4 linked regions of the Callithrix jacchus genome follow. The protein of the gene in region 2 interacts with the protein of the main gene of each other region in a biochemical or structural test. Links are inferred from orthologs where the notes say so. Each region holds a gene or a part of one and is shown on either strand. Other genes may lie near its edges.

What was found.
Region 1: of the proteins of RIGI (region 2) and TRIM25, one has a biochemical effect on the other in vitro, tested with the Homo sapiens proteins (5 studies listed by BioGRID, with this or other methods). The link is inferred for Callithrix jacchus from reciprocal best matches to the Homo sapiens genes RIGI and TRIM25.
Region 3: of the proteins of RIGI (region 2) and RNF135, one has a biochemical effect on the other in vitro, tested with the Homo sapiens proteins (6 studies listed by BioGRID, with this or other methods). The link is inferred for Callithrix jacchus from reciprocal best matches to the Homo sapiens genes RIGI and RNF135.
Region 4: of the proteins of RIGI (region 2) and RNF125, one has a biochemical effect on the other in vitro, tested with the Homo sapiens proteins (3 studies listed by BioGRID and IntAct, with this or other methods). The link is inferred for Callithrix jacchus from reciprocal best matches to the Homo sapiens genes RIGI and RNF125.

What each region holds. Positions count from the first base shown.
Region 1 is NC_133506.1:109,434,949-109,442,010, forward strand, and holds part of TRIM25 (E3 ubiquitin/ISG15 ligase TRIM25), read left to right. Parts: intron 1-3; coding exon 4-45; intron 46-1,276; coding exon 1,277-1,303; intron 1,304-1,619; coding exon 1,620-1,661; intron 1,662-1,740; coding exon 1,741-1,848; intron 1,849-5,414; coding exon 5,415-5,944; 3' UTR 5,945-7,062.
Region 2 is NC_133502.1:139,671,948-139,679,009, forward strand, and holds part of RIGI (antiviral innate immune response receptor RIG-I), read right to left. Parts: intron 6,979-7,062; coding exon 6,859-6,978; intron 4,831-6,858; coding exon 4,723-4,830; intron 4,329-4,722; coding exon 4,175-4,328; intron 3,645-4,174; coding exon 3,386-3,644; intron 3,072-3,385; coding exon 2,909-3,071; intron 441-2,908; coding exon 336-440; intron 1-335.
Region 3 is NC_133506.1:101,967,756-101,975,402, reverse strand, and holds the start of RNF135 (E3 ubiquitin-protein ligase RNF135), read left to right. Parts: upstream 1-2,833; 5' UTR 2,834-2,859; coding exon 2,860-3,228; intron 3,229-5,406; coding exon 5,407-5,550; intron 5,551-7,647.
Region 4 is NC_133514.1:75,099,462-75,107,264, forward strand, and holds the start of RNF125 (E3 ubiquitin-protein ligase RNF125), read left to right. Parts: upstream 1-2,931; 5' UTR 2,932-2,967; coding exon 2,968-3,131; intron 3,132-7,803. UniProt on the Homo sapiens protein: E3 ubiquitin-protein ligase that mediates ubiquitination and subsequent proteasomal degradation of target proteins, such as RIGI, MAVS/IPS1, IFIH1/MDA5, JAK1 and p53/TP53.

The sequences.
Region 1 (7,062 bases), on a different chromosome or scaffold from region 2:
CAGCCTCAGGACTGATAGTGGAATTAGAACGAGATGGCTCTGAGGGTGAGTTATCATGGGCAAGAAACTTTGGGGTGTCCACTCTGAGTTTGCAAATAATTTGCATTTCTTAGGGATTCTCCAGTGATGTCACTGCAGCTGGCTTGGGCACCAGACTTTGAGAATCACTATTTTAGCCAAGTTCAGTTCTTGTGGGTACACACTCCAGATATTTTCAAAGGACTTGGCAAGCAGTTTTTTTTTTTTTTTTTGAGACAGGGTCTCATTTTGTCACCCAGGCCTGAGTGCAGTAGTGAGAACACAGCTCACTGCAGCCTCATCCTCCTGGGCTCAAGCAATTCTCCTGCCTCTGCTCCCATGTAGCTGGGACTACAGGTGTGTGCCACCATGCCCAGCTAGTTTGTTGTTGTTGTTGTTGTTGTACTTTTGGTAGACATGGGTTTTCCCCATGTTGCCCATGCTGGTTTCTAACCCAGAGCTCAAGTGATCCCTGCGCCTTGGCCTCCCAAAGTGCTGGGATTCCAGATGTGAGCCACTGTGTGCCCAGCCCTTGGCAAGTTTTTTTTTTTTTTTTAATTTTTTTTCTGATTCCCTATTTGGTTTTTGTGTTTCTTCCCTTATGGAAATATAGTTTACCTGCAGTAAATCTTAAATAGTTAGATCTATTTTGACAAATGCATACATGTGTTACCATTATCCAAATCAAGATAATTTCCCTTACTCCAGAAAATTCTTCAAAAAAAAAATTTTAAAAAAGCTGGGTGCAGTGGCTCATGCCTATAATCCCAGCACTTTGCGAGGCCGAGGCGGGTGGATCACGAGGTTAAGAGATTAAGACCATCCTGGTCAACAAGGTAAAACCCCGTCTCTACTAAAAATACAAAAATTAAGCTGGGCATGGTGGCGCGCACCTGTAATCCCAGCTACTCGGGAGGCTGAGGCAGGAGAATTGCTTGAACCGAGGAGGTGGAGGTTGCGGTGAGCCGAGATCATGCCATTGCACTCCAGTCTGGGTAACAACAGTGAAACTCCGTCTCAAAAAAAAGAAAAGAAAAGAAAATTCCTTCCTGCTCCTTATTCATCAGTCCCTGCCTGCCATGTCCACTGATACTGGTTTCTATCACTGTAGATTCATTTTGCCTGCTGACTCCTATTTTTCAAGTGAAAACATCCTTTTATTTGACTGGGTCAAATTCAAGCACATGAATATTATTATTTTGAAAATGTCATTGTATTTGCCTTAAAAGATCTTAATTCTGAAAACTTTCTTTTGCAGAAGAGAAAAAGAAATCCAAGAAACCTTGTAAGTTTTGCATTTCTGCAATTGTTTGTTTCTTGAGACTGCCTGAGCATAGAACTAAATGCTGGTAGCGAGAGTTGATCTCTCTCATCAGGCTTCTTTCTGTGCTGGGATCTGTATGATTCCATTCTGTATGGCAGCAGGCCTGAGTCTGGAGGGGAGGACAAGCATAAATGAGTGAGATGAGTAAGGTGATTTTAGCCCTGTCTGGTGTCCCCTGTGTTGCCCTGCTGTTCAGGTGTGTGTTTGTAGAAGCTGCTCTTAGGAAGGGAGTAGAGGCCAACCCATTGCTCTGTATCATGTTTCTCTTTCCTTATAGCTTCGGGACTGATAGTGGAATCAGAACAAGATGGCTCTGAGGGTGAGTTATCATGGGCAAGAAGCTTTGGGGTGTCCACTCGGAGTTTGTTCTGCAAATTGCTCTTTGTTTCCTCTCTCAGCGGCAGCCACTGGAGCCAAAGGTGCCAGCTCACAGCCGAACGCAGCATCTCTCAAGGCCAAGGTGCTGGAGACCTTTCTGGCCAAGTCCAGACCTGAGCTCCAGGAGTGTGAGTAGCTTCTGTGCTGGTGCGCGGTTCCACCGGTTCTGTCTGTCCTCAGCCACTCTGTACAGTTCTGTGTGAGGCCAGCTGGCCAGCCATTTCCCAGCCATTTCCCTTCACTTGTCCTCTACTTTGTTGCTCCCTTATTCCTCCCAGTCATCAGTGCCTTTCTTGACTTCTTTCCTAACCAGCTCAGATTTCACAATGGGTCCTTTGACTCTCCCTCTTGCTGTCTATTCTGGCCTTACTGAGCTCACCTTTGGCATCTGCATGTTCCCTGCAGAGAAGGCAGGGCGATTGTGGTCACCAGCCTTCACCTGGCTGCTGTCTCCTGTCCCCTCCCTACCACTCTTTCAGAGCCACCATTCCCAAGACTTCCCACAGCCTTCTCCCTATTTTGCCCACCTTCTGCTTCACAGAGAAGAGAGACAGTGAAAAAGGGACTCCCCCTGCTCTGTTAATTGTCATCATACCTGCATCTACTGTGCCCTTTTCCTCGCCTCCTGGCCCCTTTCCCAAGCCTGGTCCCTGGCCCTGGGCTCTGGAGTCTGCTCCCCATGTGCTCTCTGGAGTCTTCTGCTCTCTCTTAGGCCTTTCCACTCCCATCTCTTCACCCTCAGCCTCTCTGCTGAGGCTTGCCTATCTGTAGCATGTTTACATCTCTCCAAATCACAAAACAAACCCAGCAAAACTGTTTTGGGGCCGGGCGTGGTGGCTCAAGCCTGTAATCCCAGCACTTTGGGAGGCCGAGGCGGGTGGATCACGAGGTCAAGAGATCGAGACCATCCTGGTCAAAATGGTGAAACCCCGTCTCTACTAAAAATACAAAAAATTAGCTGGGCATGGTGGCACATGCCTGTAATCCCAGCTACTCAGGAGGCTGAGGCAGGCGAATTGCCTGAACCCAGGAGGCGGAGGTTGCGGTGAGCCGAGATCACTCTATTGCACTCCAGCCTGGGTAACAAGAACGAAACTCCGTCTCAAAAAAAAAAAAAAAAACTGTTTTGGCTCCAGCTCTGTTTCCTGCCTCCCTTTTACCTGAATGCTTTTTAAAAATACAAATTCCTAGCTGGGTGCAGTGGTTCATGCCTGTAATCCCAGCACTTTGGGAGACCAAAAGGTCAGGAGTTCAAGACCAGCCTGGCCAACATGGTGAAACCCCATCTCTACTAAAAATACAAAAAATTAGCCAGGCATGGTGCCACATGCTTGTCATCCCAGCTACCTGGGAGGCTGAGGCACAAAAATTGCTTGAACCCAGGAGGTAGAGGTTGCAGTGAGCTGAGATTGTGCCACGGCACTCCAGCCTGGCAACAGAGAGTGAGACTCTGTCTCTACAGACAAACAAACAAAACCAAAAAAACCCAAAAAACAAATTCCTGGGCCCTGTTCCAGTTCTACAGGATCAGACTCAGGCAAGCACGGAGATCTTTTATGTTTGGCTCATTTCCTTCATGGTCCTTTTGAGGACGGCTGGGGAAAAGCAGCTCTTCAGACTGTGGACACTGGTGGCTCTCAACTGCTGGCCATGTGTTAGAATCCTCTGGGGAGGTTTTTAGAATCCCCGATGCCCAGGCTGCCCCCCAGAATGGTTCACTCAGAATCTCAGTGTTTAGTTGTCCAGGGTTGCAGTGTGGGGCCGAGGTGAGAGCCCGAAGTCTAATCCTTTTGCCACTGCAGTCTGACCTCTCTCCTGCCCTTGACTCAGGCAGCTCTGAGGTCATCAGTGGCCTCTGTGTCACAAAATCCAAGGGATGCCTTTCAGCTTTTATTTAGCGTCACCTCTCAGTGGCATTCCTCCTCCTTCTGACACTCTCTCCCCTTGACCCTTGAGCCACTATACGCCCCTGGGTTTCCACCCACCCCTCTAGTCAGGCTCCTTTGCAAGCTTGTCCAACTTGGAAATGGGTGGAGTTCCTTTATCAAGGCCAGGCCTAGGACCTGCCCACTTTCCCTCTTGTTTCTTCTGCACCCACGGGCAACACTCCATGCAGCACCTGCCAGCGGTACCCACTTCTATGTGGTGGCCAAACCCAATCACTGAAAAATACACCTCAGGCCCTTCCTTCATCTGCAGCTGCAGCAGACTTGGTGGAGATCTGTGGGTCCCTTGGTTTCTCAGGGCTGGCCTCCTTGTAGCTCACCACTGTGTTTGTCCCCCATGAGAGGCCCAGACCAGCCCCGGGCTGGAGCTGTCTCTTGCGCAAGCTGCTGGTGGTGGTGCTGAACCACATGTTTCAGGAGCTGCTGTGCACTCAGTGGCAGCTGCATAAGCAGGGAAAGTAAAGTTCTAGCCACTTAGGGCCTGTTTTCCCCACAGCTTATTCATTTTGCCTAGGGGGAAACTCGGGCTCCAGTGAAAAGTGTCATGCCCCTCAGCCACCTAGCAAGTGAGTAGGGACTAAAGAGACTGGGACGAAAGTCCAGGTCTCTTGGTTTCCAAGTTCCCAAGCTAAGATTTGTCCCTGTCTGCCTTGCTGCCCCATGAGCTGTTTCCCATGGGTCCCCAAGATCTCCTATGAGGACGGGGGCAGAGGAGATTGAGTATGGGATGACACTGAGGGGAGCTTCATCCTCAGATCTGGAACTGCTTGTAAGTGGCAGGAAGGGTAGGGAGGATATGCTAGTGTCACACCAAGGATATAGTCAGGCCATGTCTATGCTTACAGAGCTTGGCTCCCTGCTGCCCACCAGTTAAAGTCTAGACTCCTGAGTTCTTCCCTTTCTAGCCCCAACATGTTTCCCTTCTCTTGCTGCATCTGTGTTCCCAGCCACCCAGCTTCCTCAATCCTGGCACACCCCCACCCTTCTGGCACTCTGTGGCTTCACCCTCACCATTCCCTCTGTCTGGAATGGCCATTCTCTTTCCTCTGTCTAGTTCTCATCTTCTGTTACTTGGTTCCAGCTCCAGCATGACAGCAAAATGTTCCCCAACTGTAGCATCAGTGGCCTTATCTCTGTGTCCCTACAGTGTGTGCCTACGCTTTTGGGAGAGTGTGAGTCTCATAGTGTTGTTACTGATGGACTTGCCTTGCTTGTTGGAGTGTGAACTCCATGAGGCAACCAGAATCTGTGTCAGTCATGTGCCTGGTAAATTATTTTGGACGCATGAATGGGCAGACACGTGGATGACTGATAGATGATAGATGGCTGGCTGGGCAGAATGGATGGATGGATGGATGGATGGATGGATAGATGAGCTGATGGATAATGGATGGCTGCATAGATGGACAGATGGATAAGTGGATAAATGACTAGATGAGTGGATAGATGAATGAATGAATGGATAAATGGAAAGACAGAAGGATGGATAGAAAAGTGAATGGATGAGTGGATAGATGGGTATATGGACACATGGGTAGATGGCTAGATGGATGGATGGATACATGGATAGACAGATAGATGGATGAATAGACAGACAGATAGTTAGAAGTATGGATGGACAGACAAATGGGCAGATGGGTGCATGGATGGATAAAACTGGTGAATAAATAGTACCACATTGGGAAAGGTCTAAAAGTGAGAGCACTTTGGGCCCCTTGTAATTAATCCTTGGGGTGTTGTTTTCTCAGATTATGTTAAAGTCATCCTGGACTACAACACTGCCCACAAAAAGGTGGCTCTGTCACAGAACTATACAGTAGCTTCTGTGGCTGAGATGCCTCAGAACTACCGGCCGCATCCCCAGAGGTTCACATACTGCTCTCAGGTGCTGGGCCTGCACTGCTACAAGAAGGGGATCCACTACTGGGAGGTGGAGCTGCAGAAGAACAACTTCTGTGGGGTAGGCATCTGCTATGGCAGCATGGACCGGCAGGGCCCCGAGAGCAGGCTCGGCCGCAACAATGCCTCCTGGTGCGTGGAGTGGTTCAACACCAAGATCTCTGCCTGGCACAACAACGTGGAGAAAACCCTGCCCTCTACCAAGGCCACACGGGTGGGCGTGCTTCTCAACTGTGACCACGGCTTTGTCATCTTCTTTGCTGTTGCTGACAAGGTCCACCTGATGTATAAGTTCAAGGTGGACTTTACTGAGGCTTTGTACCCGGCTTTCTGGGTGTTCTCCGCTGGTGCCACGCTTTCCATCTGCTCCCCAAAGTAGGCAGGCCATGGACACTTGGACTGACTGCTTGCAGAGGTCCCAAGACCCTAGTGAAAATCCAGCAGGCAGAACTCTCCTTGGAGAATTCCCCAAGAGGTCCCAAGGTTTGGGAGTATGGGAGGGGAGCAGGCGGGAGGGTGGGGGATGGGATTTAGCCTGGGAAAAGGGGTGGAGGTGATTGTGTTGTGGGCAAGGAGGCATTTCCACCCCCTGGTGCCTATCAGGGCAGGGTGACCTGCTTCTCATTGTTCTGGGAAATCTCCAGGCTGCTGGGCAGCTGGGCAGAGCTCTGGGGAGTGAAGTCATGAGTGCCTAATTCCTCTTAGAAAAAAATCCATATCTACTGTAGGTTCTGTCTTGGGCCACTTGGATCTGAAGGCTGCCCCTTTGCTCTCTGGGGTAGCCTTCAGATCTGGGTGTTTTGATTACTTACCATAGATGTTTTTAAAATTCCAAAGTCATTAAATTTGGTTGAATTACACAACCTCCGTTACCCACATGCTGGGGCTCGATCTCCTGATTATTAGCTGTGCTTGAGGAAACACCCACAGCAGTCTCTACCCAGAACAGAGTTTCCTAAAGAAGCATGCCCTCTTCCTCCACTGTAAAATAGTGCTGTTCCCTTCCTACCCTGCTCACCCATCACTCCCCATTGATGGTTTTCAAACAGGAAACTTTTCAGCTAAAGCTTCAAACCATGACTGGAATGAGCCTGTGTTGGATTTGTGATTCAAGGTCAGGTGACCCCGGTCCAGTTTGAATGGAAATCCTTCCTAAGTGTCATGAGAAGCATCTTGGCAGAGATGCTTTGGTGGCAGCCATGAGCTTTGCTGGAGGCCTTGCTTCCCATAGCCTTGGCTGCAGGGCAAGGAACTCTGCTGGTCAAGAGGGACACTGCCCTGGGTCAACAGAAGCCTGATGGGTTTGCTCGTGTTGGAGTGTCCTGCTTTCTTACTGACAACTCTTCTTGGCTTTAGCTCCTCTCCCCTGGATTGTGAGATACGGAATGACAGTGCAGGTACCACTGAAGCTAGCACAGCCAGCTAAGCTGGATCTCTGAAGCCTGCTATCATGGAGACAGGCTGCCTCAGGGACCACACTAGACCACTTGCTCGGGT
Region 2 (7,062 bases):
AAAGAAAAAAAAAAAAACAGAATAAGGAGGATATATAAGGCTTCTAAATAACATATAATTAAGGCAGACAATCTCTGGATATGGTCTTGACATTATCGGAACTAAGGAGAATGTAAAAAGACCATAGTGAGGCCGGGCGTGGTGGCTCATGCCTGTAATCCAAGCACTTTGGAGGCCAAGGCGGGCGGATCACCTGAGGTCGGGAGTTCAAGACCAGCCTGACCAACATGGGGAAACCCCATCTTAAAAAAAAAAAAAAAAAAAAAAAAGACCATAGTGAACAATATATGGCTATTTCCAAATAGAGAAAACACAAAATATGAGATTTATCTTACCAAGGTCTTTGCAGATTCTCTTTGCCAGACCCTCTGTCTCTCTCATCAGCTGAGCTATGATGCATTTAAATTTGTCGCTAATCCGTGATTCCACTTTCCTGAAAACTAGAGACATAAAAAAAAAAAGAGAGTGAGTAGTATATTTTCAAGAAGGAAAGACTGTAGTTCAAAGTAGATATTTCTCAAACCTTTCTCTGCCTTTGTTAAATCCTCTGAAAACCCTGAGGTTCCAGGCTCACTGGCAGGTGGTCTAGATATAACAAATGCTCAAAAACCTTGCAATGGCTTCCTGTTGCTTCCTGTACTGATTTTAACATCTTTCGTGGTGTAGATCTAACCAGCTTATTTTTATTGATTTATTTTTATTTTTTGAGACAAAGTCTCGCTCTGTTGCCTAGGCTGGAGCACAGTGGCGCAGTCTCACTCACTGCAACCTCCGTCTCCTGGGTTCAAGCGATTCTTCTGCCTCAGCCTCCTGAATAGCTGGGACTACAGGTACGCACCACAACACCCAGCTAATTTTTATATTTTTAGTAGAGATGGGGTTTCACCATACTGGCCAGGCTGGTCTCGAACTCCCGACTTTTGTGATCCACCCGCCTCAGCCTCCCAAAGTGCTGGTATTACAGATGTGAGCCACTGCATCTGGCCTAACCAGCTTCTTACTGTGGCTGTCCTGTAACCTCTTCTCTGATGAGGCTGGCATCTTTCATGTCTCCTCAAGTGTCACAATCTAATCCCATCTCTGTGCTTTGCTATTCTCCCTCCCCACACAGCCTCCAGTGGTATTCACAGTGATCCTACCATTTATCAGTGTATTATTTCAGCCTAATTATTAATTGCCTACTATGTGCCATGCTTTGGTTATAAACAGTTGAAAGAACACACTCCATGCTCCATAGAGGGCTGTGATCTTAAAGGAGAGGAATATACATGGCTAACTAACTACAGCAGAGTTCTGTAACAGAAGTACATGCAAAGTGTGGCTGGGCACAGTGGCTCATGCTTGTAATCCCACCACTTTGGGAGGCCAAGGAGGGTGGATCATTTGAGGTCAGGAGTTCAAGACCAGCCTGGCTGGCCAACATGGCAAAATCCCATCTCTACTAAAAAATACAAAAAATTAGCTGGGCGTAGTGGCACACACTTGTAATTCCAGCTACTCACGAGGCTGAGGCAGGAGAATCATTTGAACCCAGGAGGTGGAGGTTGCAGCAATGAACCAAGATAATACTACTACACTCCAGCCTAGGCAACACTGCAAGACTCTGTCCCAGAAAAAAAAAAAAAAGTAGTAGGACATGAAAAGTGTCACAAAACATAGGCAAACACCTAATTCTTCCAGAGAAGTCACAGCTGTAGAATAAATACAGGAAGAAGAAAGGAAAAAGAGTAGTCATCTATATTCCATCACGACTTGGCAAAGAAAAAGAAAAAAAAAGAGCAGTGATGTACAAAGGAAGCACAGACAAGAGCTTGGAGAGAGAAAGCACAGGGCATGTTTGAGGAGCCCAGAGGAATGCGACATGGTTGGGTTTATGAATGTTTGGAGGCGATGAAGCTCAGAGGGCTGGAGGAGGAGGATTATAAAGAAATTCATATGTGACCCTGAAAAGCTGGGATTGGGTACATCACACTCCTTACAAGCAGCCTTCGAAAAGCAGCTTACCTACAACACTCCCTATTCCATGTGGATTTGTTCTACCTCAGACATACAGTCACATACTACTCAGAGAGCAAGGGTGTAATCCTATGTATTTTCTGTACCCCTCTCTTCTTTGCAGGGTTAGTATAATAATAACATCAATCAACAGTTGTTAGTCTTACTAAAAATTCATATCCAGCCGGGCGTGGTATCTCACATCTGTAATCCTAGGACTTTGGGAGGCCGAAGCAGGTGGATCACCTGAGGTCAGGAGTTCGAAACCATCCTGGCCAACATGGTGAAACCCTGTCTCTACTAAAAATACAAAAATTAGCCAGGCTCAGTGGTGGGTGCCTGTAATCCCAGCTACTTGGGAAGCTGAGGCAGGAGAATTGCTTGAATCCAGGAGGCGGAGGTTGCTGTGAGCTGAGACGCCACTGCACTCCAGGCTGGGTGACAGAGCAAGACCCCATCTCAAAAAAAAAAAAATCATATCTGATCTTTTGCGGAGGGATATCATGAATTCAGATCATTCCATTTCAACTAAAATGATCAAATACATATTCAAACAGTGATGACCATACGGGCACAGACCATGGAACAAGGCTGAGCCCAGCTCTTGGCTATCTGATGCCTAAATTCTCTCATCATCTCTTTTGCATCACTAGTACCTTTATAAGAGGTTTTTGGAACCAAAGAGGAAGAACCTTTGCTCTCTACAGGCCACTTCTGAGGTTCATCCATTGCTTGGGAAGAGAGCTCAGTTAGAGAGAGAGGCTAAAAATGTGACTATTACTCAAGTTTGGAGTTAAATATTTTTTACTAAACAGAGAAAGAGTCAAAGTTCAGTTTTCATCTAGATGGCTCTGAACTACTGCTAGCAGAGAGTAACCAAATCTCAAAGGGCTTGTTCCTGGATCCAACTTACACTTCTGGGGCTTATAAACAACTTGCTCCAGTTCCTTCAGGTTGTCTTGGACTGTTGCTATCACTGACGCATCAAGAGAAGCACAGAGTTTGCAGATATAATCCAAAGCTTCATCTGTGTTTTTGGCATCCCCAACACCAACCGAGGCAGTCAGCCCAATGACCTGTAAGAAGCATTCCAAATCATTAGATGTCTGAGAAATAGCACAATGTTTCCACAACCCCTCATATAACTCTTTCCTGCTGGAGTAGGGCTTTTGTTTTTGCTTTTACTGACACACAGCATATGGTACATGGAGGCACATAATGTGTATTTTACTAAGTGAACAAATGAATAAATGAACCAAAATTAAAAATGAGTTGTATAATATGGACTTAGGACCTGAGAAGGACATCTTCAGTGTGGCCACAAGAGTAAGTAAATAAAAGTTAGGAAGATTATAGCTTTTCTGAAGAATTCGTCTGACTTTGGAGATACCTGGGGCAGTGGGCCTGAAGATCCTCCAAGTTTCTGATCTAGATAATTGAACATGATCATATTGTATGGATGTTGTTTACTAGTGTTGTGGCATTCATCAAATATCATCAAAGTAAAGATGGACAGTGATGGAATCGTTCCATTTTTAAGGTTGTTCACAAGAATCTGTGGAGTTAAAATGATGATGTCGTTGTTCTCAACAATCTGTTTCACTGGGACATTCTCAGCTGTTGCTCCAGAAATGCCTGTAACTCTATACCTGAAATGACAGAAATTCCATATTACCAACCACAATGTGAATAAGGAACCATGAAGATGAAATGCTGGATCCGATCATCAACTGATTAAGTTCTCCCTGAGTCCAAAAGGAGTATAGCTGTAGGCAAGTCCTTAGCACATAGTAAGTGCTTAGCCTGACACACAGTAAGTGATCAATAAATCTAAGATAGTTGTGATTTATAGTAGTATATATTAAGTAACCAAGAGAGAAAAGAAAACTTAAAAGAGTAATATCAAATAAATTATAAAATCACTAAAGAAGTTAAATGTGCCACTTAAACATCACATTTATCCCTGAAGTCATTTACTCCCTGTACAAGGGCAAACCAGGGGCATTTAAGACTTCTGGGACATATAACAAAAAAGACTTGAATCCATGAATGAATTATATCCTGATTATATAAAAGCTGAATCTAATATAAGTTTTATCATTTTTTCCAAAATAAAACAGAAATCACATCAATTACATGAAGCTGAAGAAAAAGAAGTTGAACCAACTATTATACCTACCCAAGTCTTTCAAAGTATTTTGAGAATACAGATTTCTGCTGTTCATACACTGGGATCTGATTAGCGAAAAAGACAACTTTCCCCTTTTGTCCTTGCGGGAATTTTTTAAGATGATGTTCACATATAAGGAGTGCAACTAAGGTTTTTCCACAACCTTTTAACATGTAAGGAAAAAATAAAACATGTAACTCATATGATATTAGATATTTCTCTAAAAAGGCATTTATTTTTGGCTCTTCTAATACCACAGAGCTGACTAATTGATAATTTAGATGGGTTAACAATTACGGAATTTACACTATAACTAAAAAATATCAAGCTACTCCCTAGATAGCATGCTAACAGCCAGAACCCAAAAGCAAGCTAACAGAGGGTACTTTTCTTTACCTTCTCATGTCCCATAAAATAATTAGGATTATGTTATTAGGACAGTTTTTTCAAAAGACACATGAACAAGGAAAAAACTGAAACTTGCCCATTCTGTCCCAGTATTCAATAAAAGAAAAAAAGGAAACAAAAAACTATATAAGTGATGGCAACTGGCTTACCTGTAGGAGCACATATTATTGTGTTTTTTCCTTTCTTGGCAGGCAAAGCAAGCTCTAATTGGTAACTTCTTGGTTTAAATGGGCTGTACAAGTTTGTATCAGACACTTCTGGAATACAAAAGAAACAAAATTACCAAATAGCTCCTGCTCTGAGGAATCAGGGAAATAGCCACAGTCTAAAGTCCACAAATTCTGACTCCAGCAAGAAGCGCCTCATTGGAGACAGTTTAGAATCCTTTCCTTGTTAACCATTCTAGCTTTTTCACTAATCTGAAGTACAAAATTCTCTCAATGACAAAGTATTGATGGTAAGAAAGAAAGAAAAAAACATGAATTATTTTTTATACAATCATGGAAGCCTAACAAAGAGAAACCACAGCAAGAATAGCCCAATTCTGGGTAAGACAAGTTGTCCCTTTGTTAAAGGCAATGCTGTATGGAACAAAGCAACAAATCCTCCCAAGATCTTTGAAGAAATCCAAACTGTTACCAAAGCAATTTCTTAAGTAGCAATAATGCTTTGTCCTTCTTCAAGTTCTCAAATGGCATTTTCTCTCAATACAACCAGAAGTTTTGAAAAATAATCAAAGGCTTTATCTCAGTAACAGGTAAGCATACAAAATATTAAAGCTAGCAAAGACTTTGGAAATTGTCTACTGAATCTACCCTACCCATTTTAGAGAAAGGGAAAATTTCTAAAAAGTTAAGTGAATTACCCTCACAGAAAAGACATGTAAGGGCCAGGCACACTGGCTCATGCATGTAATCCCAGCACTTTGGGAGGCCAAGGTGGAGAGATCACTTGAGGTCAGGAGTTAGAGACCAGCTTGGCTGACATGGTGAAACCCCATCTCTACTAAATATACAAAATTAGCCAGTTGTGGTGACACACGCCCATGGTCCCAGCTACTTCGGAGGCTGAAGCAGGAGAATCACTTGAACCCAGAAGGCCGAGGTTGCAGTGAGCTGAGATGCACTGCTGCACTCCAGCCTGGGCAACGGAGTGAGACTCCATCTCAAAAACAAACAAAAAAAGACGTAAGAATCTTCACGTCAGAAAATTTAAAGCAATGCACATTCATTGACTTTATTCTGTTTGTTCTTTGTTTCTGTTTTTTTCCAGGGTAACAGATTTTATTCTGGAATGACCAAAAAAGAAAAAAAAAAAAAAGACACTTGTAACATCCAGTTGCAGAAGTAATCTGCACATTTTATTTCTATGGAGTTATCCTAATATCATTTTTCTTCTAACACTGCTCATTATTAATCCTAATTTCTTTCCGGATATCCTTTTATAAATAACTCTATTACGGCATAGTATGCAACTTTCCAGTCTCAAAAAACTGTCAAGAAAATATGGTTCAAGAAGATAAGGGGCCCTCACAGGGCCACAGCTAACTTATACAGAGCCTTTGTGTAAATGAGAAAAAGGAGCTGCACACTAACTTCATCAACTTGCAGGGCAGCCCTGAGATCCTTAAAAGAAATTGAGCAAGTGGCTCAGAAAAAGACTTTCTCACTCATAGGCAGGTGATGAACAATGAGAACACATGGACACAGGGAGGGGAGCACTACACACTGGGGTCTACTGGGGGGAATAGGTGAGGGACAGTGGGGTGGGGGGATATCATGGGGAGAAATGCCAGATGTGGGTGAAGGGGAGGAAGACAGCAAATCACACTGCCACGTGTGTACCTATGCAACTATCTTGCATGTTCTGCACACACATGTACCCCAAAACTTAAAATGCAATAAAAAAAAGAAAAAGAAAAAGAAGACTTCCTAAAGTCTTTCTTTAGAAAGACTAGAAAGCAAGACTGATTTGGGAATTCATAGACATTGCATTTTGGTGAAGACTCTATGTGCACTTCCAGTGTAGACACACACATACTTTCTTAGTGGTAAAAGAAGAAAAAAAGATAGTAAAAGAAGAAAAGAAAGATAGTGGAAGAAGAACTAGAAGGAGAGAATGGCATTCTAAAGACAGAAAGGGTATCTATTGTAACATAAATTCTCTTTTCCAATTTTCCTTACAAACCTTTTCACAAGGCTGTGACTTCTGGTACAGCAAAACATGTCCCCACACCAAATACCAGAAGAGCACCATTATGGAAAAGAACAAACAGTGTGGGATACCTGAAGGCAGACATGAATTCTCACTCAGGTTCTGGCATTCTGGATCTTCTTGGTAGAAAATCTGTATGTCAGAAGTTTCCAACTTCTCCTCAAGATCTTCCGTTTCCACATCTTTTATACCTTTTTAAGACCAAAAAAGTCTTAGAATCTTAATATAATCTGCTTATAGTTTTGATGTTGAAAGCTCCACAAAAAGGTCATAAC
Region 3 (7,647 bases), on a different chromosome or scaffold from region 2:
AGGTCAAAGGTAACTTTAGTTTATTTTTTATTTTTAAATTTTTTTTGAGACTAGGTCTAGCTCCTTCCCCAGGCTAGAGGGAAGTGCTGTAATCACAGCTCACTGCAGTCTTGGCCTCCTGGGCTCCCACGGCTCACTGCAACCTTCACCGCCCCTCAAGCAATTCTCCCATTTCAGTCTCCTGAGTAGCTGGGCATAGCCAGGCCTGTGCCACCGTGCCTGGCTAATTTTTTTTTTTTTTTGAGATGGAGACTTGCTCTGTTGCCCAGGCTGGAGTGTAATGGTATGATCTCGGTTTACTGCATCTTCCCCTTCCCGGGTTCAAGCGATTTTCCTGCCTCAGCTTCCCAAGTAGCTGGGATTACAGGTGCCTGCCACCACGCCTGGTTAACTTTTGTATTTTTAGTAGAGACAGTTTTTCACCAGCTGGCCAGGCTGGTCTCGAACTCCCGACCTCAGGCGATCCACCATTCTTAGCCTTACAAAGTGCTGGGATTACAAGCGTGAACTACTGTGCTTGGCCAATTTTTATATTTTTTTGTAGAAACAGGGTTTCACCATGTTGCTCAGGGTAGTATCAAACTCCTGAGCTCAAGCAATCCACCTGCCTTGGCCTCCCAAAGTGCTGGGATTACAGGCATGAACTACCATGCCCAGACAGCGATTTTATTTTTTAAATTGGAAGATCTGAGCATGTTTAACTGTTTAGTATCATGCCCATTTTACAGAAAAAAAAGAGAGGCTCTTAGAAGTTATGATTTTACTTCAGTGTGGAGATTCTGGAACAAGATCCAGGTAATCTCTCAGTCAGGATAGGCTAGGTTATGGTGTATCAATACACACCCACTCAATCTCAGTAAGCTTATATCAATACACACCCACTTAATCTCAGTAAGCTGAACACATCCCGGTTTTCTTCTCCCGCTTACTACATATCCTAGAGTGGGTTGGCAGGGAGTCTGCTCATCTTAGCCACTCACTGACCCAGATCACTGAATGATGGTTTCATCTCCATAGTTGGAGCAGCTGGCAGAAAGGGATACAATGACCGGCTCAGTCACCTTTAAAGCTGGTGGGAAGTAACATTAGTACCTCTGTGTGTTTCAAGTGGGTCAGGGAAGTGCCAGTCCTACCATGTGCCCAGAAAGGGAAAGTACTGGAAACGCTGATGAGCAGTGCTGCCTACTCCATGACACTTCCAGTGTTGGAAATAACCACAAACATTTTTTTTTGTCCTCAGCTTCACGAGTAGCCGGGACTACAGGCATGCACCTAGAAGACTGACTTTGTTTTTTTTTGTTTTTGCTTATTTATTTTTTGAGACAAAAGTCTCGCTCTGTTACCCAGGCTGGAGTGCAGTGACATAATCTCAGCTCACTGCAACCTCCACCTCCCAGGTTCAAGTAATTCTCCTGCCTTAGCCTCCCGAGTAGCTGGGACTACAGGTAGGCGCCACCATAGTAGAGAAGGGGTTTTACCATATTGGCCAGGCTGGTCTAGAACTCCTGACCTTGTGATCTGCCCGCCTTGGCCTCCCAAAGTGCTGGGATTACAGGCGTGAGCCACCAAGCCTAATCTTGTTTTATTTTTAGTAGAGATGGGGGTTTGCTATGTTGGCCAGGCTGGTCTTGAACTCCTGACCTCAAGTGATCCAAAGGTCTGCTACAAACTTGTATTATCTGATACCTACTTTGAGCTCCGGTGAGAAGGGGTAAAGCATGAGGCATTAAAGCATGAGGCATTGTTAGTTCATTTCAACATATTGGGGAGTTGTGGGTTTTAGTCTCTGACGCCTCACTGTTACCATGCGAGCTTAGAAGTTCCATTACCTCTTTGGGTCATCTGGGAGGACTTGGTGCTCTTTTAGTTCTAACATTTTCTGCTTGCAATGCGCTTAGGACTGGAGTAGGAGGTGAGTGAGTGGGAGAACGCAAACGCCACAAACGCCAGGCGAGCCATCTCAGGAAAACACTTTTTAGTATTTTGTCCGCTTGTCTGTCGGGAAACGCGCTTACATCCCGCAGAGGGCAGTAAGGACACAGCGCGCAACTCTGCTTTATAACTGCGCGTTAAAAAGCCTTGAATGCGCGTCAGAATCATGTAGGGGAGGTTTTATAAAAACCCGTGCTCCGCCCGAGACAATGAAATCAGACTCCCTGCAAGCGGGACCCGAACATCAGCATTTTTGAAGACCCCCACCCCCACCCCCGCCGCCGCCACCGTGACTGTGCACCGATGATCTTTAATCCCCTGCTACTTGTTAGAGCAGCTACTTATTAGAGGATGACACCTCGCGGACTCATTCTTACAAATGAGCTGCTGAATGGACTCCTTTCCTCCCAAGAGTTGTCGGTGTTGCATCTTTTTGTTGATTGTGTGTGTGTGTGTGTTTTGCCTACAGCACCCGGTATTCTAAGGCGGTCTCCCATCCAAGTACCAACCAGGCCCGACCCTGCTTAGCTTCCAAGATCAGACGAGATCGGGCTCGTTCGTATTTATATTTTTTTAGCCTACGGAAGAAGACATCCAATGGCGCTGCATCTTAATGGGGGCACATCCAGCGAAAGGGAATCTTGGAGACATCTGCGGGTTCCTAGCGGCTGGCGGCAAGTGGGTTTCCGAGGGCAGGGGGCCGCCACCGAAGGTCAGCTCTGCCATTCGCGCTGGGTTGTGGAGGATCAAAGTCCGCTTTCAGCAGGACCGGAGGAAGGAGACTGGGTGGCCCCAAGGGAGGAGGGTAAGAGGCAACCGAGAAGAGGTGGAGGGCCGGGGGAAGAGGAAGGGCGAGGGAGGAGCCTGAGGAGATGCGGCCCACATTGGGCCGGCTAGACCCAGACGTCCGCGCCAAGCCTGGTCGCCATGGCGGGCCTGGGTCTGGGCCCGGGCCCTGCCGTCCCCGTGTGGCTGGCAGAGGACGACCTGGGCTGCATCATCTGCCAGGGGCTACTGGACTGGCCGGCCACGCTGCCCTGCGGCCACAGCTTCTGCCGCCGCTGCCTGGAGAGCCTGTGGGGCGCGCGGGCCGCGGGTGGCCGCTGGGCCTGCCCCACCTGCCGGGAGGTCGCCGCGCAGCAGCCGCGGCTGCGGAAGAACACGCTGCTGCAGGACCTGGCCGACAAGTACCGCCGCGCCGCGCGCGAGCTGGAGGCGGGCCCCGACTCGGCCCCCCGCCCCGGCCCCGGCTCCTGCCCGGCCCCCAGGCCCCGGCGCCGCGGGTCACTGCCGCGGGTAGGGAGGCCGAGCTCGCAGGTCCCCTCGCGCCCCCGGGCTGCCCCCCTTTCCCTCTGGCTCGAACCCCCTTCCTCAGCCGTTCTACTTTTACGTTCCTTTTCTCAATCTAACAGTCGACTCCCGCTCTTAGGAGGAACTTTGAAGTTCAGAAAAGTATGAAGAAGCAGGAAAAAAAAATTCCCCATCTCCCGAAAGCCTGTCAACCTAGCAGCTATACGCCTTGGCATATTTCAACTTCTTCCCAATCTATTTGCGGTCTCTTTCTCTCAAAATTGTAAAATTGTGGTAAGATGCATGTAACATTAAAACTTGCCATTTTTGCCTTTTTTTTTTTTTTTTGGAGATGGAGTCTCTCTGTCACCATGCTGGAGTGCAATGGCGCGATCTGCTCACTGCAACTCCCGCCTCCCGGGTTCAAGCGATACTTCTGTCTCAGCCTCCCGAGGAGCTGGGATTACAGGCGCACACCACCGTGCCCAGCTACTTTCTTTTCTATTTTAGTAGAGACAGGGTTTCACCGTGTCACCCAGGCTGGTCTCGAACTCCTGAACTCAGGCAATCCTCCCGCCTCCGCCTCCCAAAGTGCTAGGATTATAGATGTGAGCCACGGGACCGGCCTCATTTTAACCATTTTTAAGTGTATAATTCAGTGACAAATTAGTTACATTTCCAATGTGCAAATAACACTGCTGTTTGCAAAACCCTTTGATGACCATAAACAGAAACTCTGTACCCATTAAGTAGTAACTCCTCATTTTCCCTCCCTCTAGCCCCCGCTCACATCTAAGCTACTTTCTGTATCTGAGTCTTCCTGTTCTGGTTATTCATATAACTGGAATCATTCAATGTCTGTGCCTTGTTTCTTTCACTTAGCATGGTGTTTTCAAGGTTCATTCATGTTGTAGCATGTGTCAGACTTTATTCCTTTTATGGAGGCTGAATAATATTCCACTGGGTGGATGTGCCACATTATTTATTTGTTTTTTTGAGATGAAGTCTCGCCCTGTCACCAGTGGCACCATCTTGGCTCTGCAACCTCTGCCTCCCGGGTTCAAGGGATTCGCCTGCCTCAGTCTCCCGAGTAACTGGGACTACAGGTGCGCACCACCATACCCAGCTAATTTTCGTATTTTTAGTAGAGACGGGGTTTCACCATGTTGGCCAGGGTGATCTCGATCTCTTGACCTCGTGATCCGCCTGCCTCAGTCTCGCAAAGTGTTGGGATTACAGGCCTAAGTCACTGAGCCCGGCCACATTTTAAAAAATCCATTCATCCATCCTTGGACATTTGAATTGTCTCCACCTTTTGGTTACTTGTGAATAATGCTGCAGGGAACATTGTTGTGCAAGTATCTGAGTCCCTATTTTCCATTCTTTTGGTATATACCTAGGAGTGTGATTGCTGGATCATATGGTAATTTTATGTTTAACTTATTGAGGAATGGTTTGTTTTCCACAAGGCCTGTACCTTTTTGCATTCCCACCAGCCATGTACAAGGGTTCCAATTTTTCCACATTCTGCTGACTACTTATTTTCTGGATGTTTTTGTTTTTCTTTTTTAGCATAGCTTTCACACCTTGGTATAGGCATGAAGTGACATTTCATTGTGATTTTTTTTTTTTTTTGAGATGGAGTCTCACTCCAGGCTGGAGTGAAGTGGCACAGATCTTGGCTCACTACAACTTCTGCCTCCTGGGTTCAAGCAATTCTCCCTGCCTCAGCCTCTAGAGTAGCTGGGAGTACAGGCACCTGCCACCACACCTGGCTGATTTTTGTATCATTGCCAAATCAAGTGTCATACATTTTGCCCTGTGTTTTCTTCTAAGAGCTGTATTATTTTAGGTCTTACATTTAGGTCTTTGATCCATTTTGAGTTAGTTTTTGTGTGTAATGTTAGGTAAGGATCCAACCTTATTCTTTTGTGTGTAGATATCCAGTTTTCACAATACAATGTGTTGAAAAACTGTCCTATCCCCATTGAATGGTCTTGGCACCTTTGTCAAAAATCATTTAATCATATATATGAGAGTTTATTTCTGGGTACTCTATTCTATTCCATTGGTCTATATGTCTGTTTTCATGCCATTACCACAGCATTTATGACTCCCTCTGTCTATAGTGGTTCCTGGGTCCAGTTTTATAGAACCCATGAACTGAACTTTGCTGTTTTAAAGGTGGAAGTACAGAAGAGCATCACAGAAGTTGGTCAGGAGCTGACAGAGCTGGGGGAACGGCTTGTAGATATTGTCAGGAGCCTGCAGAGTCAGAGGCCCCTATCAGAATCTGGACCAGACAATGAACTGAGCATCCTGGGCAAGGTAGGCTCCGCTGGGAGAGGAAAGGATCTGGGAGGTGAAAGGGCTAGGGATTGCTTTCAACTGAAACGACATGAATGTGTTTGAAGCTGAAGGATGCAGTAAGTCTCAACCTTTTATTGTTCTCTTCACTACCAGACATGGATGATTGGATATTTGGTATGCTTGAGGTAAGGTTCGGAAGCTTTGAGTGGGCTAGGATCACTCCACTTAACCAGCTATCTCTAAGATCACCAATGACCTCTGTGTAAACCCTGTAGACATTCTGATGCCTGTCTTCACTGACCTTTCAGCAGCCTTTGACATAGTGGACCCCACCTTCATTCTTAGCTTTTGGGACAGCAGTCTTCTGCCTTTCCCCCACCTCTCTCTGGCTGATCCTTCTCAGTCCGTTTGCAGGCTCTCTCTCCTCTGCTCAGGAATTCAATGCTGGACTTCCTCAAGGCTGAGTTATAGGTCCCTTTCTCTCTCCTCCAGGTAGTCTTCCTCGTACCCCTGGCTTTAATGACTACCTCTATGCACAAATATAGCTACAACCTGGAGCCTTCTCTGAGCACTAGGCTGCTATATCTCCCTTCTCATCTTTTCTTCTTGGGTATCTCAAAGCATCACACTTAACATGTCTTAAATTGCTCCTCCTCTGGGATTTCTCATCTCAATGCTGGCCCTATTATTTTTCCAAGTACAGAAGCCAGAGACATGGGAATCATGTTACCTCCTTCTCCCTCACCCTAATATGCAGCATATTGTAGCTCTAAGACCTGCCTAATTACCTCTCAAATATATTTACTACTCTTGAGCTCCTTTGAGAGTTCTCTAATCCAAGCCTCTGATAATTTCATGCCTGGATTGCTGTCATAACCTTCCAAATGCTCCACTCTCCCTCTTCTAGTCTGTTTTCCTCATGGTCATCACAGTGACCACCATAAACACATCTGAAAATGTAACTCATCTGCTTAAAACGTTCAAGTGACATCAGTTTGCTCAGGACTAAGACCCAAATCCTCACAGGATCGACAAAGCCCTGTAGGATCCCATCTGTGTCTGCCTCTCAAATCTCATCTCTGCTTACTCTGCCTGGCTCTGTGAGCTCCAGCTACACTGGCCACATCAGTGCCTCTGGTGTCTCACGTCTTCCCACTACAGGGGACCCTTCCTGGAATGCTCTCCTTTCCCTCCACCGCTTAGGTAATGCTTGCTCATCCTGCAGATCCTAGCTAGAACATCCCTTCTTCAGAGAGAAGCCTTCACTGATTTCCTCGAACAAATCAAATTCCCCCATTAGAGGCTCTTAGGATTCCATGTACCTTTCACTGGTAGTAGTTATCATCATTGCAACTTTGTAATGACTTGTGCCCTACTCTGTATTAATGTCTGCCCCTCTCCCTTTTCCTGCACTGGACTCTTAGCTTCATGAGGATAGGGACTTTTGATGCTTTTGTCCACCATTGTATCCCCATGCCCTAGCACAGTACCCAAGTACCCACTTATAGTAGGGCTCAACAAATACCCACTGAATGTATGAATAAATGCATCTTCAGGGATGCAATGTGTTGGATAAAAGTCTGAGAGTCAGACTTTCAGACTTGACATTGTCACTCTCTGGTATCATGACCTTGGGCAAGTCTTTTCATCCTTCTGCGTCTCAGGTTCCTATATGTAATGTAGAAATAATAATACGTGGCCTGCCACATCACTGGTTTATTGTGAGGGTTAAAATAGGTTTAAAAAAGTGTTTGACCGGCCGGGCATGGTGGCTCACGCCTGTAATCCCAGCACTTTGGGAGGCTGAGGCGGGTGGATCATGAGGTCAAGATATCGAGACCATCCTGGTCAACATGGTGAAAACCCGTCTCTACTAAAGATACAAAAAATTAGCTGGGCATGGTGGCACGTGCCTGTAATCCCAGCTACTCAGGAGGCTGAGGCAGGAGAATTGCCTGAACCCAGGAGGCGGAGGTTGCGGTGAGCTGAGATCGCGCCATTGCACTCCAGCCTGGGTAACAAGAGCAAAACTCTGTCTCAAAAAAAAAAAAAAAAAAAAAAAAAAGGTGCTTGACCAATGTTAAAATATGGGGTGATATAATTAACTGTGGCAAT
Region 4 (7,803 bases), on a different chromosome or scaffold from region 2:
CTAAGACAGAATCCTAGGCTCTCCAGCCCAGAGCCAGTGGAGAAAGAGACTCCAGCAAAGAAGGCAGAGAAACAACAGCCAGCAAGAAAGAAGGGAAGTCAAAGCGTTTCCAGGAGGGAATGGTCAGCACTGACAAACACAGTCAAGGGGTCAAGCAAAAACGTAGCTGAAAAGAATCTATTGGAATTAGTCACATGAACGTCACCAGTGACACCGATAATAAAGCAGTTTTTCGACAGATGGAGGTGGAGATGTTGGTTCAGAACCCAGACGAGACTGAATAAGAAGTGAATAATTGAGAAATGATGACAAAATGTGCAGAATCAGATCAAGAGATTTGGCCTTGAAGGGGATATGGGGCAGGAGTTGAGGCATAAGTGGGATGAAAAGAGGATTTTAATTTCCTTTTGAAAATAGCTATCATTTCATCTTATCTCCTCACCATACCCCCCAGCCCCCACGACCTGATGCTCCAGCCCCACAAATCTTTCTTTCCTTTGATCCTGCCTCATTCGCTGTTCCCAATGCTTGCCACGCTTTTCCCTAAATCTATGAATGGCTCATTTCTTCTCATTATTCATGGCTTTGCTCAAATGTCACTTCATCCAAAAAGTCTTCTCTGAGCTTATCCTTCTCCCCATTGTCATTCACTGTTTTATCTTCTTTGTGGTTCTGATTACCTGAAATGATTTTGTTCATTTATTAATGAACAAAATTTTATTTATTCATTTATTAATAAATAAATTTATTGATTGATTACTTAGATCTTCCTTTTGTTTGTTTTTGGGGTTTTGTTGTCATTGTTGTTGTCATTTGACTCTGTCACTCACACTGGAGTGCAGTGGTATGATCTCAACTCACTACAGCCTCCATCTCCCAGGTTCAAGCGATACTTGTGCCTCAGCCTCCCAAGTAGCTCACACCCAGCTAACTTTTGTATTTTTAGTAGAGACAGGGTTTTACCATGTTGGTCAGGCTGGTCTCATACTGACTTCATATGATCTGCCCTCCTCGGCCTCCCAAAGTGCTAGGATTACAGGCGTGAGCAACTGCCCCAGCTTGGTTTGTTTTTTGAGACAGGATCTTGCTCTGTTGCACAGGATGGAGTGCAGTAGCATGATATTGGCTCCTGTGATCAAATGATCTCTCACCTCAGCCTCCCAAAGTGCTGAGATTACAGGTGTGAGCCACAGTACCCGGCCTATATCTCTTAATCAAAAGTAAAGTGTGAGTGTGGCAATTCCTCAAGGATCTAGAACCAACAATTCCATTACTGGGTATATACCCAAAGGATTATAAATCATTATACTATAAAAACACATGCACATGTATGTTTATTGCAGCACTGTTCACCATAGCAAAGACTTGAAAGCAATCCAAATACCCATCAGTGATAGACTGTATAAAGAAAATGTAGCCCAAATCCACCGTGGAATATTATGCAGCCATAAAAAAGGATGAGTTCATGCCCTTTGCAGGGACATGGATGAAACTGGAAGCCATCATTCTTGGCAAACTAACACAGAAACAGAAAACCAAACACCACTTGTTCTCACTCATAAGTGGGAGTTGAACAGTGAGAACGGAACATCACACACCAGGGCCTGTTGGAGGGTGAGGGGCTGGGTAGGGATAGCATTAGGAGAAATACCTAATGTAGATGATGGATTGATGTGTGCAGCAAACCATCATGGCACGTGTATGCCTATGTAACAAGACTGCACATTCTGCACATGTATCCCAGAATTTAAAGTATTATAATAATAATAATAATAAAAAGTAAAGTCTGGGGTAAACTGGGTGAAATTTATGGGCTGTTAAGTACATGTATGTATTATATGTTATTATATCCCATGTGTTATGTATTATTGTATATGTGTATTATATACTATGTGCTATTTTTGCAACTCTACGCAAATCTACAATTATCTCAAAATAAAGTTTTGTTTTTGTTTTTTAAAGTAAGTTCTGTGAGAACTGGGGTTTTATTTGCTTGTTGACAATTGTGTCTTTATCATCAGAACAGGGTCTGGCATGCAGTGGGCACTAAATAAGTCTTCGTAAAACGTGTGAATTAATGCCCGGCGACTTTTTATATTATTAGTAGAGACGGAGTTCTACCACGTTGGCCAGGTTGATCTCGAACTCTGACCACAAGCGATCCAACCGCCTCGGACTTCCAAAGTGCTGGGATTACAGGCCGGGGTCACTGAGCGCAGCTGATCAAGTTTAAAGGGCGGGGTGGGGAGAGTACAAACAACAGAGGAAATCCTGAGCCGCAGAGGAAACTGGAGATGGCAGCGTTTAGCACTAGACTCTGTACGAGAGGCAGGATTGGAATCCAAATCTCCAGAACTCTTTCCACTGCCCGTGCTATCTCTCCATTGATGGACTATTGACTGGATGACAAAGTATTGATAGCACAGTCTTAGGAGACGCCCAGTCATAGATCATAGGCCATCTTTGCAGCTTATTGTGATTTCAACCGTGGAGGATGGTCCTATCCATCACCTTTCAAGCGGCTGTTCTCTGATCAGCATTAAGCATGGCCACGCCCGCCCTTAACTTCTGACTGTGGGGAAAGAGGTTGTGTGGGTGACAGCTTGGAAGGTTTACTACTGCCTCAATCCTCTTTTCTGCAGTTGAGGTTTCAGGTTTCAATCCTCCCAATACCACAAGACAGTGCAGCGAGCACCCGGCGGCCGCCGCCTCCGCCTCCGCCTCCGCCTCCGCGCCTCAACCCCGGCAGCCTGCAGATTTCAGCCCCGCCGCCGCGCACTCGCCCTGCCCTAGACCAGGGTTGGGCGCAGCGGCTGAGGCTGCTTCTGGGCTGCGCGAACTGGGTGCGCTGGGAGGCGGCGATCGCAGCTGGGCTGGGACTTCCTTCCTCCAGCGCACGGCAACAAAACAACCTTGCAGCAGGCACTGAGCGCTTGGCAGCTGTCCGGGCGAGCGAGAGGCACAGCGATGGGCTCTGTGCTGAGCAGCGACAGCGGCAAGTCGGCGCCCGCCTCTGCCACCCCGCGGGCCCTGGAGCACAGGGGGGACCCGGAGTTGCCCGTCACGTCCTTCGACTGCTCCGTATGCCTTGAGGTGTTACACCGGCCTGTCCGGACCCGCTGTGGCCACGTGTAAGTGCCAGGGGAGCCGGGTTCGCGCCCATCCCTGCGGAGGTCGATGTGGGGAAGCTGAGGGCTTGGTAGGGGGAAGAAGGGGGACGGAAGACAGCGCCTTAGGAACTGCTGCAGGGAGAAACCTGGACCCGTCGGGTGCGGGGCCACAAGGAAAACGCCAGTCGGTAGGTGACACGGGACTTCGGGAGGAGAAGACAGAAACGAGCGGGCCCTTTAGCCCCCTTGCGCTGTCTCCTCCCGAAGCCCAGGTGCGGAGCTCCAGGGATCCAGGCACGGGTCCCACCCAGCGCCAGGGCTGGCCAACGAGGGAGGGTGCTCCTGGCTGGAGAACCAGCGACCGCCCGGGCACAGAAAGAAAACCAGCGCCCGCTACAAGGCAAGGGCTCCCGCTAAGCGCAGTTATCCCGCTGAACTCGGTGGAACGGGCTGCGCTTCCCTCTGCCCCAGAAACCTGGGTCCGTTTTGTTTTGCTGCAGCTGTGCACGTGTTCCCAGAATGCCCACAGAGACTCGTCTTAAGCAAACAAGGATTTGTGCCAAGTGTCCTTCCACCCCCACCCCTGCTACCCTTTCCCAAAACAGACACCCAGCCTCTCAAAGAGCAAGTCAAACTGGAGCTTCCGAGTGACTTTCCACAGTCGTTAGAGTTTAACAACCTGCTAGGGTGGGGCTTGGACGTTAGCCGCAAGCCCCTGAATGCAATCCTTCACTACCCAGCCACAGCGTGACAGGAGGTGGCAGACTACCTGCTTTACTCCCCGTCTCTCCAAACCCGCAGAAATTACAGAGTAAAATAACTTTCTCGAAACCGAGCAGTATTTAGCTAAAACTCGCAGTTGGTGCAAAGCCCTGTCGTTTCTAAGAAGCGTTTAAAAACAAAGTCCGGATATAAATTTGGCACATCCTTAATGTTGTGTTCTCTGTTTGCTTTTTTTCTTTTTTTTTTCCTGAGACATAGTGTGGCTCTGTTGCCCAGGCTGGAGTGCAGTGGCGCGATCTCGGCTCACTGCAACCTTTGCCTCCCCGGCTCAAGTGATTCTCCTGCCTCAGGCTCCCTAGTAGCTGGTATTACAGGCGTGTGTCACCACAACCAGATAGTTTTTGTATTTGGAGTAGAGATGTGGTTTCACCATGCCGGCCAGGCTGGTCTCCTGACCTCAATTGATCCACCCGCCTCAGCCTCCCAAAGTGCTGGGGTTAAAGGAATGAGCCACTGCTCCCAGCCTTCACTGTTTGTCTTGAATTTTGTTCACGGATACACGTGTGTGTGTGTGTGTGTGTCTGTGTGTGTGTGCGCGCGTGCGGGTGCACAGATCAGGAGCGGAAGCCTACTTAATGTCCTTTGAAGACTGACTATAGTATGATGAAGCCCTGTGCGATACCACATTGGCTTGTACAGCTTTTGGCTTAGCAGGAAGAAAGAAATAGCATATTATGGATGCAAGTGCACAATATGTTTTCGAGAACCACTTTTGAAAGGATTTGGGTAGTCCTTAAAAACATGTGCATTTGCATTCAAAAGTTTTGAGGCCTGTAGTGGTGGCTCACACCTGTAATCCTAGCACTTTGGGAGGCTGAGGTGGATGGATCACCTGAGGTCAGGAATTCAAGACCAGCCTGGCCAACATGGTGAAACCTCGTCTTTACTAAAAATATAAAAATTAGCCAGGCATGGTGACCTACACCTGTAATCCCAGCTATTCAGGAGGCTGAGGCAGGAGAATTGCTTGAACCTGGGAGGAAGAAGTTGCAGTGAGCTGAGATGGCACCATTGCACTCCACCCTGGCAAGACTTTGCTTCAAAAAATAAACAAAAAAAGTTTTGAAAGTACTTAGGTGGTCCTTATTACCTATATCTTTGTATCTGAAAAGCAGTGTTCACCACTGCCCGTCTGTGAGCCAGGGAGAAAAGTGTGCAACCTGTGCAATGTATAAAGAGTGCTTTGGGCATTATTTCATGGCTGTATTCTCAAGGCCTGTTGTTTCAGCCTTGTTCGTAAAATTCGAGGCTTAAATTTACCCTCCTTTCTGGTTATTGATGTTGTTGCTCAGCTGTCCAGATGTAGTAACATGATATCCACAGACCAATCTGGAAGCCAAAATGTGCTATGTGAGTCAAAGTACATTGATTAGTTTAGTGCAGTAACAACCTAAAGATACCTCCATTTAAATTTAATAATTATTAGCATTAAAACTTCAACGTAGTACAAAACAGAAACAGTGGGCGTTTTGAAGATTCTTTTTGGAATAGAAGGCTTTGCTGTTCAATCTGACTGGAGACTGTTTTCCCGGTTTGGACTTTGAACATTATAATTTACCGTTAACAGTGTTTTTCCTTCTACTAAAGGATAATATAAATTTGCAAAATGTTGAATTTTTTGTTTAATCTTTTTCTTTGTTCAAGTGAATAGAAAACTAGCAACTGAAAAAAAAAAGTCGTAAAATAGTATAATAAGGGCTGAGCAAACTGCCTTTCCTTGCTTCACTGTTCTTTGTTTTGGCAAATCTATGTTCATTGTTCTGGCTGTGGGCAGAATTTCCATATTCCTCCTTTTGGCAAACTTACTTGGGTCCCTTCCACTTTATAGCTGTTAACCAGAGTCCTTACTGCAGTAGAGATTGTGAGTGTTGTTAATACCATTTGTACATTCTAAACGAATTACTCTTTTCCGCTGAAATTAAGTTGGAAAACAAAGAAATGCAAATGAACCTTCTCTATTTTATGATCTCATATTGAAGCTACATTTTCAAATGTAATGAACTAGGTTGTTTATGCTGATTTTTGTTTGTAAACCTACTTCAAGTCAAACAAGTTTAATAATAACAACAGTACCTTGAATAAATATGCACAGAGCACTTTATAAGTTGCATTGTGGTGCAGTGGAAACTGGCCCTTACAGAGAGCTGGATTTGAAATTCAGCTCTGCCACTAGCCAGCTGTGTGATCACTGTAAGGAAATTTGAATTTGATTTTTTTCCCCTAAAGGTTTGATCACTTGAGTCTATGAAACAAACTGCTAGTAGATTAACAAGGGGGAAAGGACTACAAATGTATTAATGTGCATACGGGCACGGGAGTCATGCCAAATGTGAAAACTGAAAGAAAGGGCCAGTGCTTGATGCTTTTTTTTTTTTTTTTGAGACGGAGTTTCACTGTTGTTACCCAGACTGAAGTGCAATGGCACGATCTCGGCTCACTGCAACCTCCGCCTCCTGGGTTCAAGCAATTCTCCTGCCTCAGCCTCCCGAGTAGCTGGGACTACAGGCATGTGCCACCATGCCCAGCTAATTTTTGTATTTTTAGTAGAGACGGGGTTTCACCATGTTGACCAGGATGGTCTCGATCTGTTGACCTCGTGATCCACCCGCCTCAGCCTCCCAAAGAGCTGGGATTATAGGGGTGAGCCACCACGCCCGGCTTTGTTTGATGCTTTTATACCATCTTGAGGTTACCACAGAATAGGGGCTTGGAACATGGTTACGGGAGGGAGAGAGAAAGAAGGGGCTGGGACAAAGGTGGTCTAGTTATGCTGATGAAACTTGATAGATAAACAGCTCTGAGAAAGAATAGGCATGACTGTGTTAAGTTGCTCTGTCAGCCCTTCACAGGTGTCAGACTTTCAGTTAATAATTTCCTAGGTCCAGATAAGGGGGTGCCTCCAAAAAAAGCCTGGTGATTTTTTTGTTTGTTTGTTTTTGGAGATGGAGTTTCACTCTGTTATGGGGCTGGAGTGCAGTGGTGTGATCTTGCCTTACCGCAACCTCTACCTCCCGGGCTCAAGTGATTCTCCTGCCGCAGCCTCCTGAGTAGCTGGGACTACAGGCAGGCACCACCACGCCCAGCTAATTTTTGTATTTGTAGTAGAGACGGGGTTTCACCATGTTGGTCAGAATGGTCTCGATCTCTCGACCTCGTGATTCACCCACCTTGGCCTCCCAAAGTGCTAAGATTACCGGTGTGTGCAACCGCGCCTGGCCTATTTATTTTTTTGAGACAGAGTCTCACTCTGTCGCCCAGGCGGGAGGGCAATGGCCTATCTTGGCTCGCCACAACCTCTGCCTCCCTGGTTCAAGCGATTCTCCTGCCTCAGCCTCCTGAGTAGCTGAGATTACAGGTTCCTGTCACAACGCCCAGCTAATTTTTGTATTTTCAGGAGAGATGGGGTTTCACCATGTTGGCCAGGCTGATCTTGAACTCCTGACCTCAGGTTATCCACCCCGCCTCAGTCAAAAAAGTTATAGTAGGAGTCTGAGGAAGAAACAAAGGTCTAAATAAATGGTGTTGGGAAAACTGGCTAGTCATATGCAGAAAGCTGAAACTAGATTCCTTCCTTACACCTTATACAAAAATGAACTCCAGATGGATTAAAGATTTAACTATAAGACCTAACATCATAAAAACCCTAGAACAAAACCTACTCAATAGCATTCAGGACATAGGATAGGCAAGGACTTCATGACTAAAACATCAAAAGCAATGACAACAAAAGCCAAAATAGACAAATAGGATCTAATTAAACTTAAGATCTTCTGCACAGCAAAAGAAACTCTCAATAGAGTGAACCAGCAACCAAAGGAATGGGAAAAAATTTTTGCAATCTATTCATCTGACAAAGAGCTAATAACCAGAATCTACAAAGAACTTAAACAAATTTACAAGAGAAAAAACA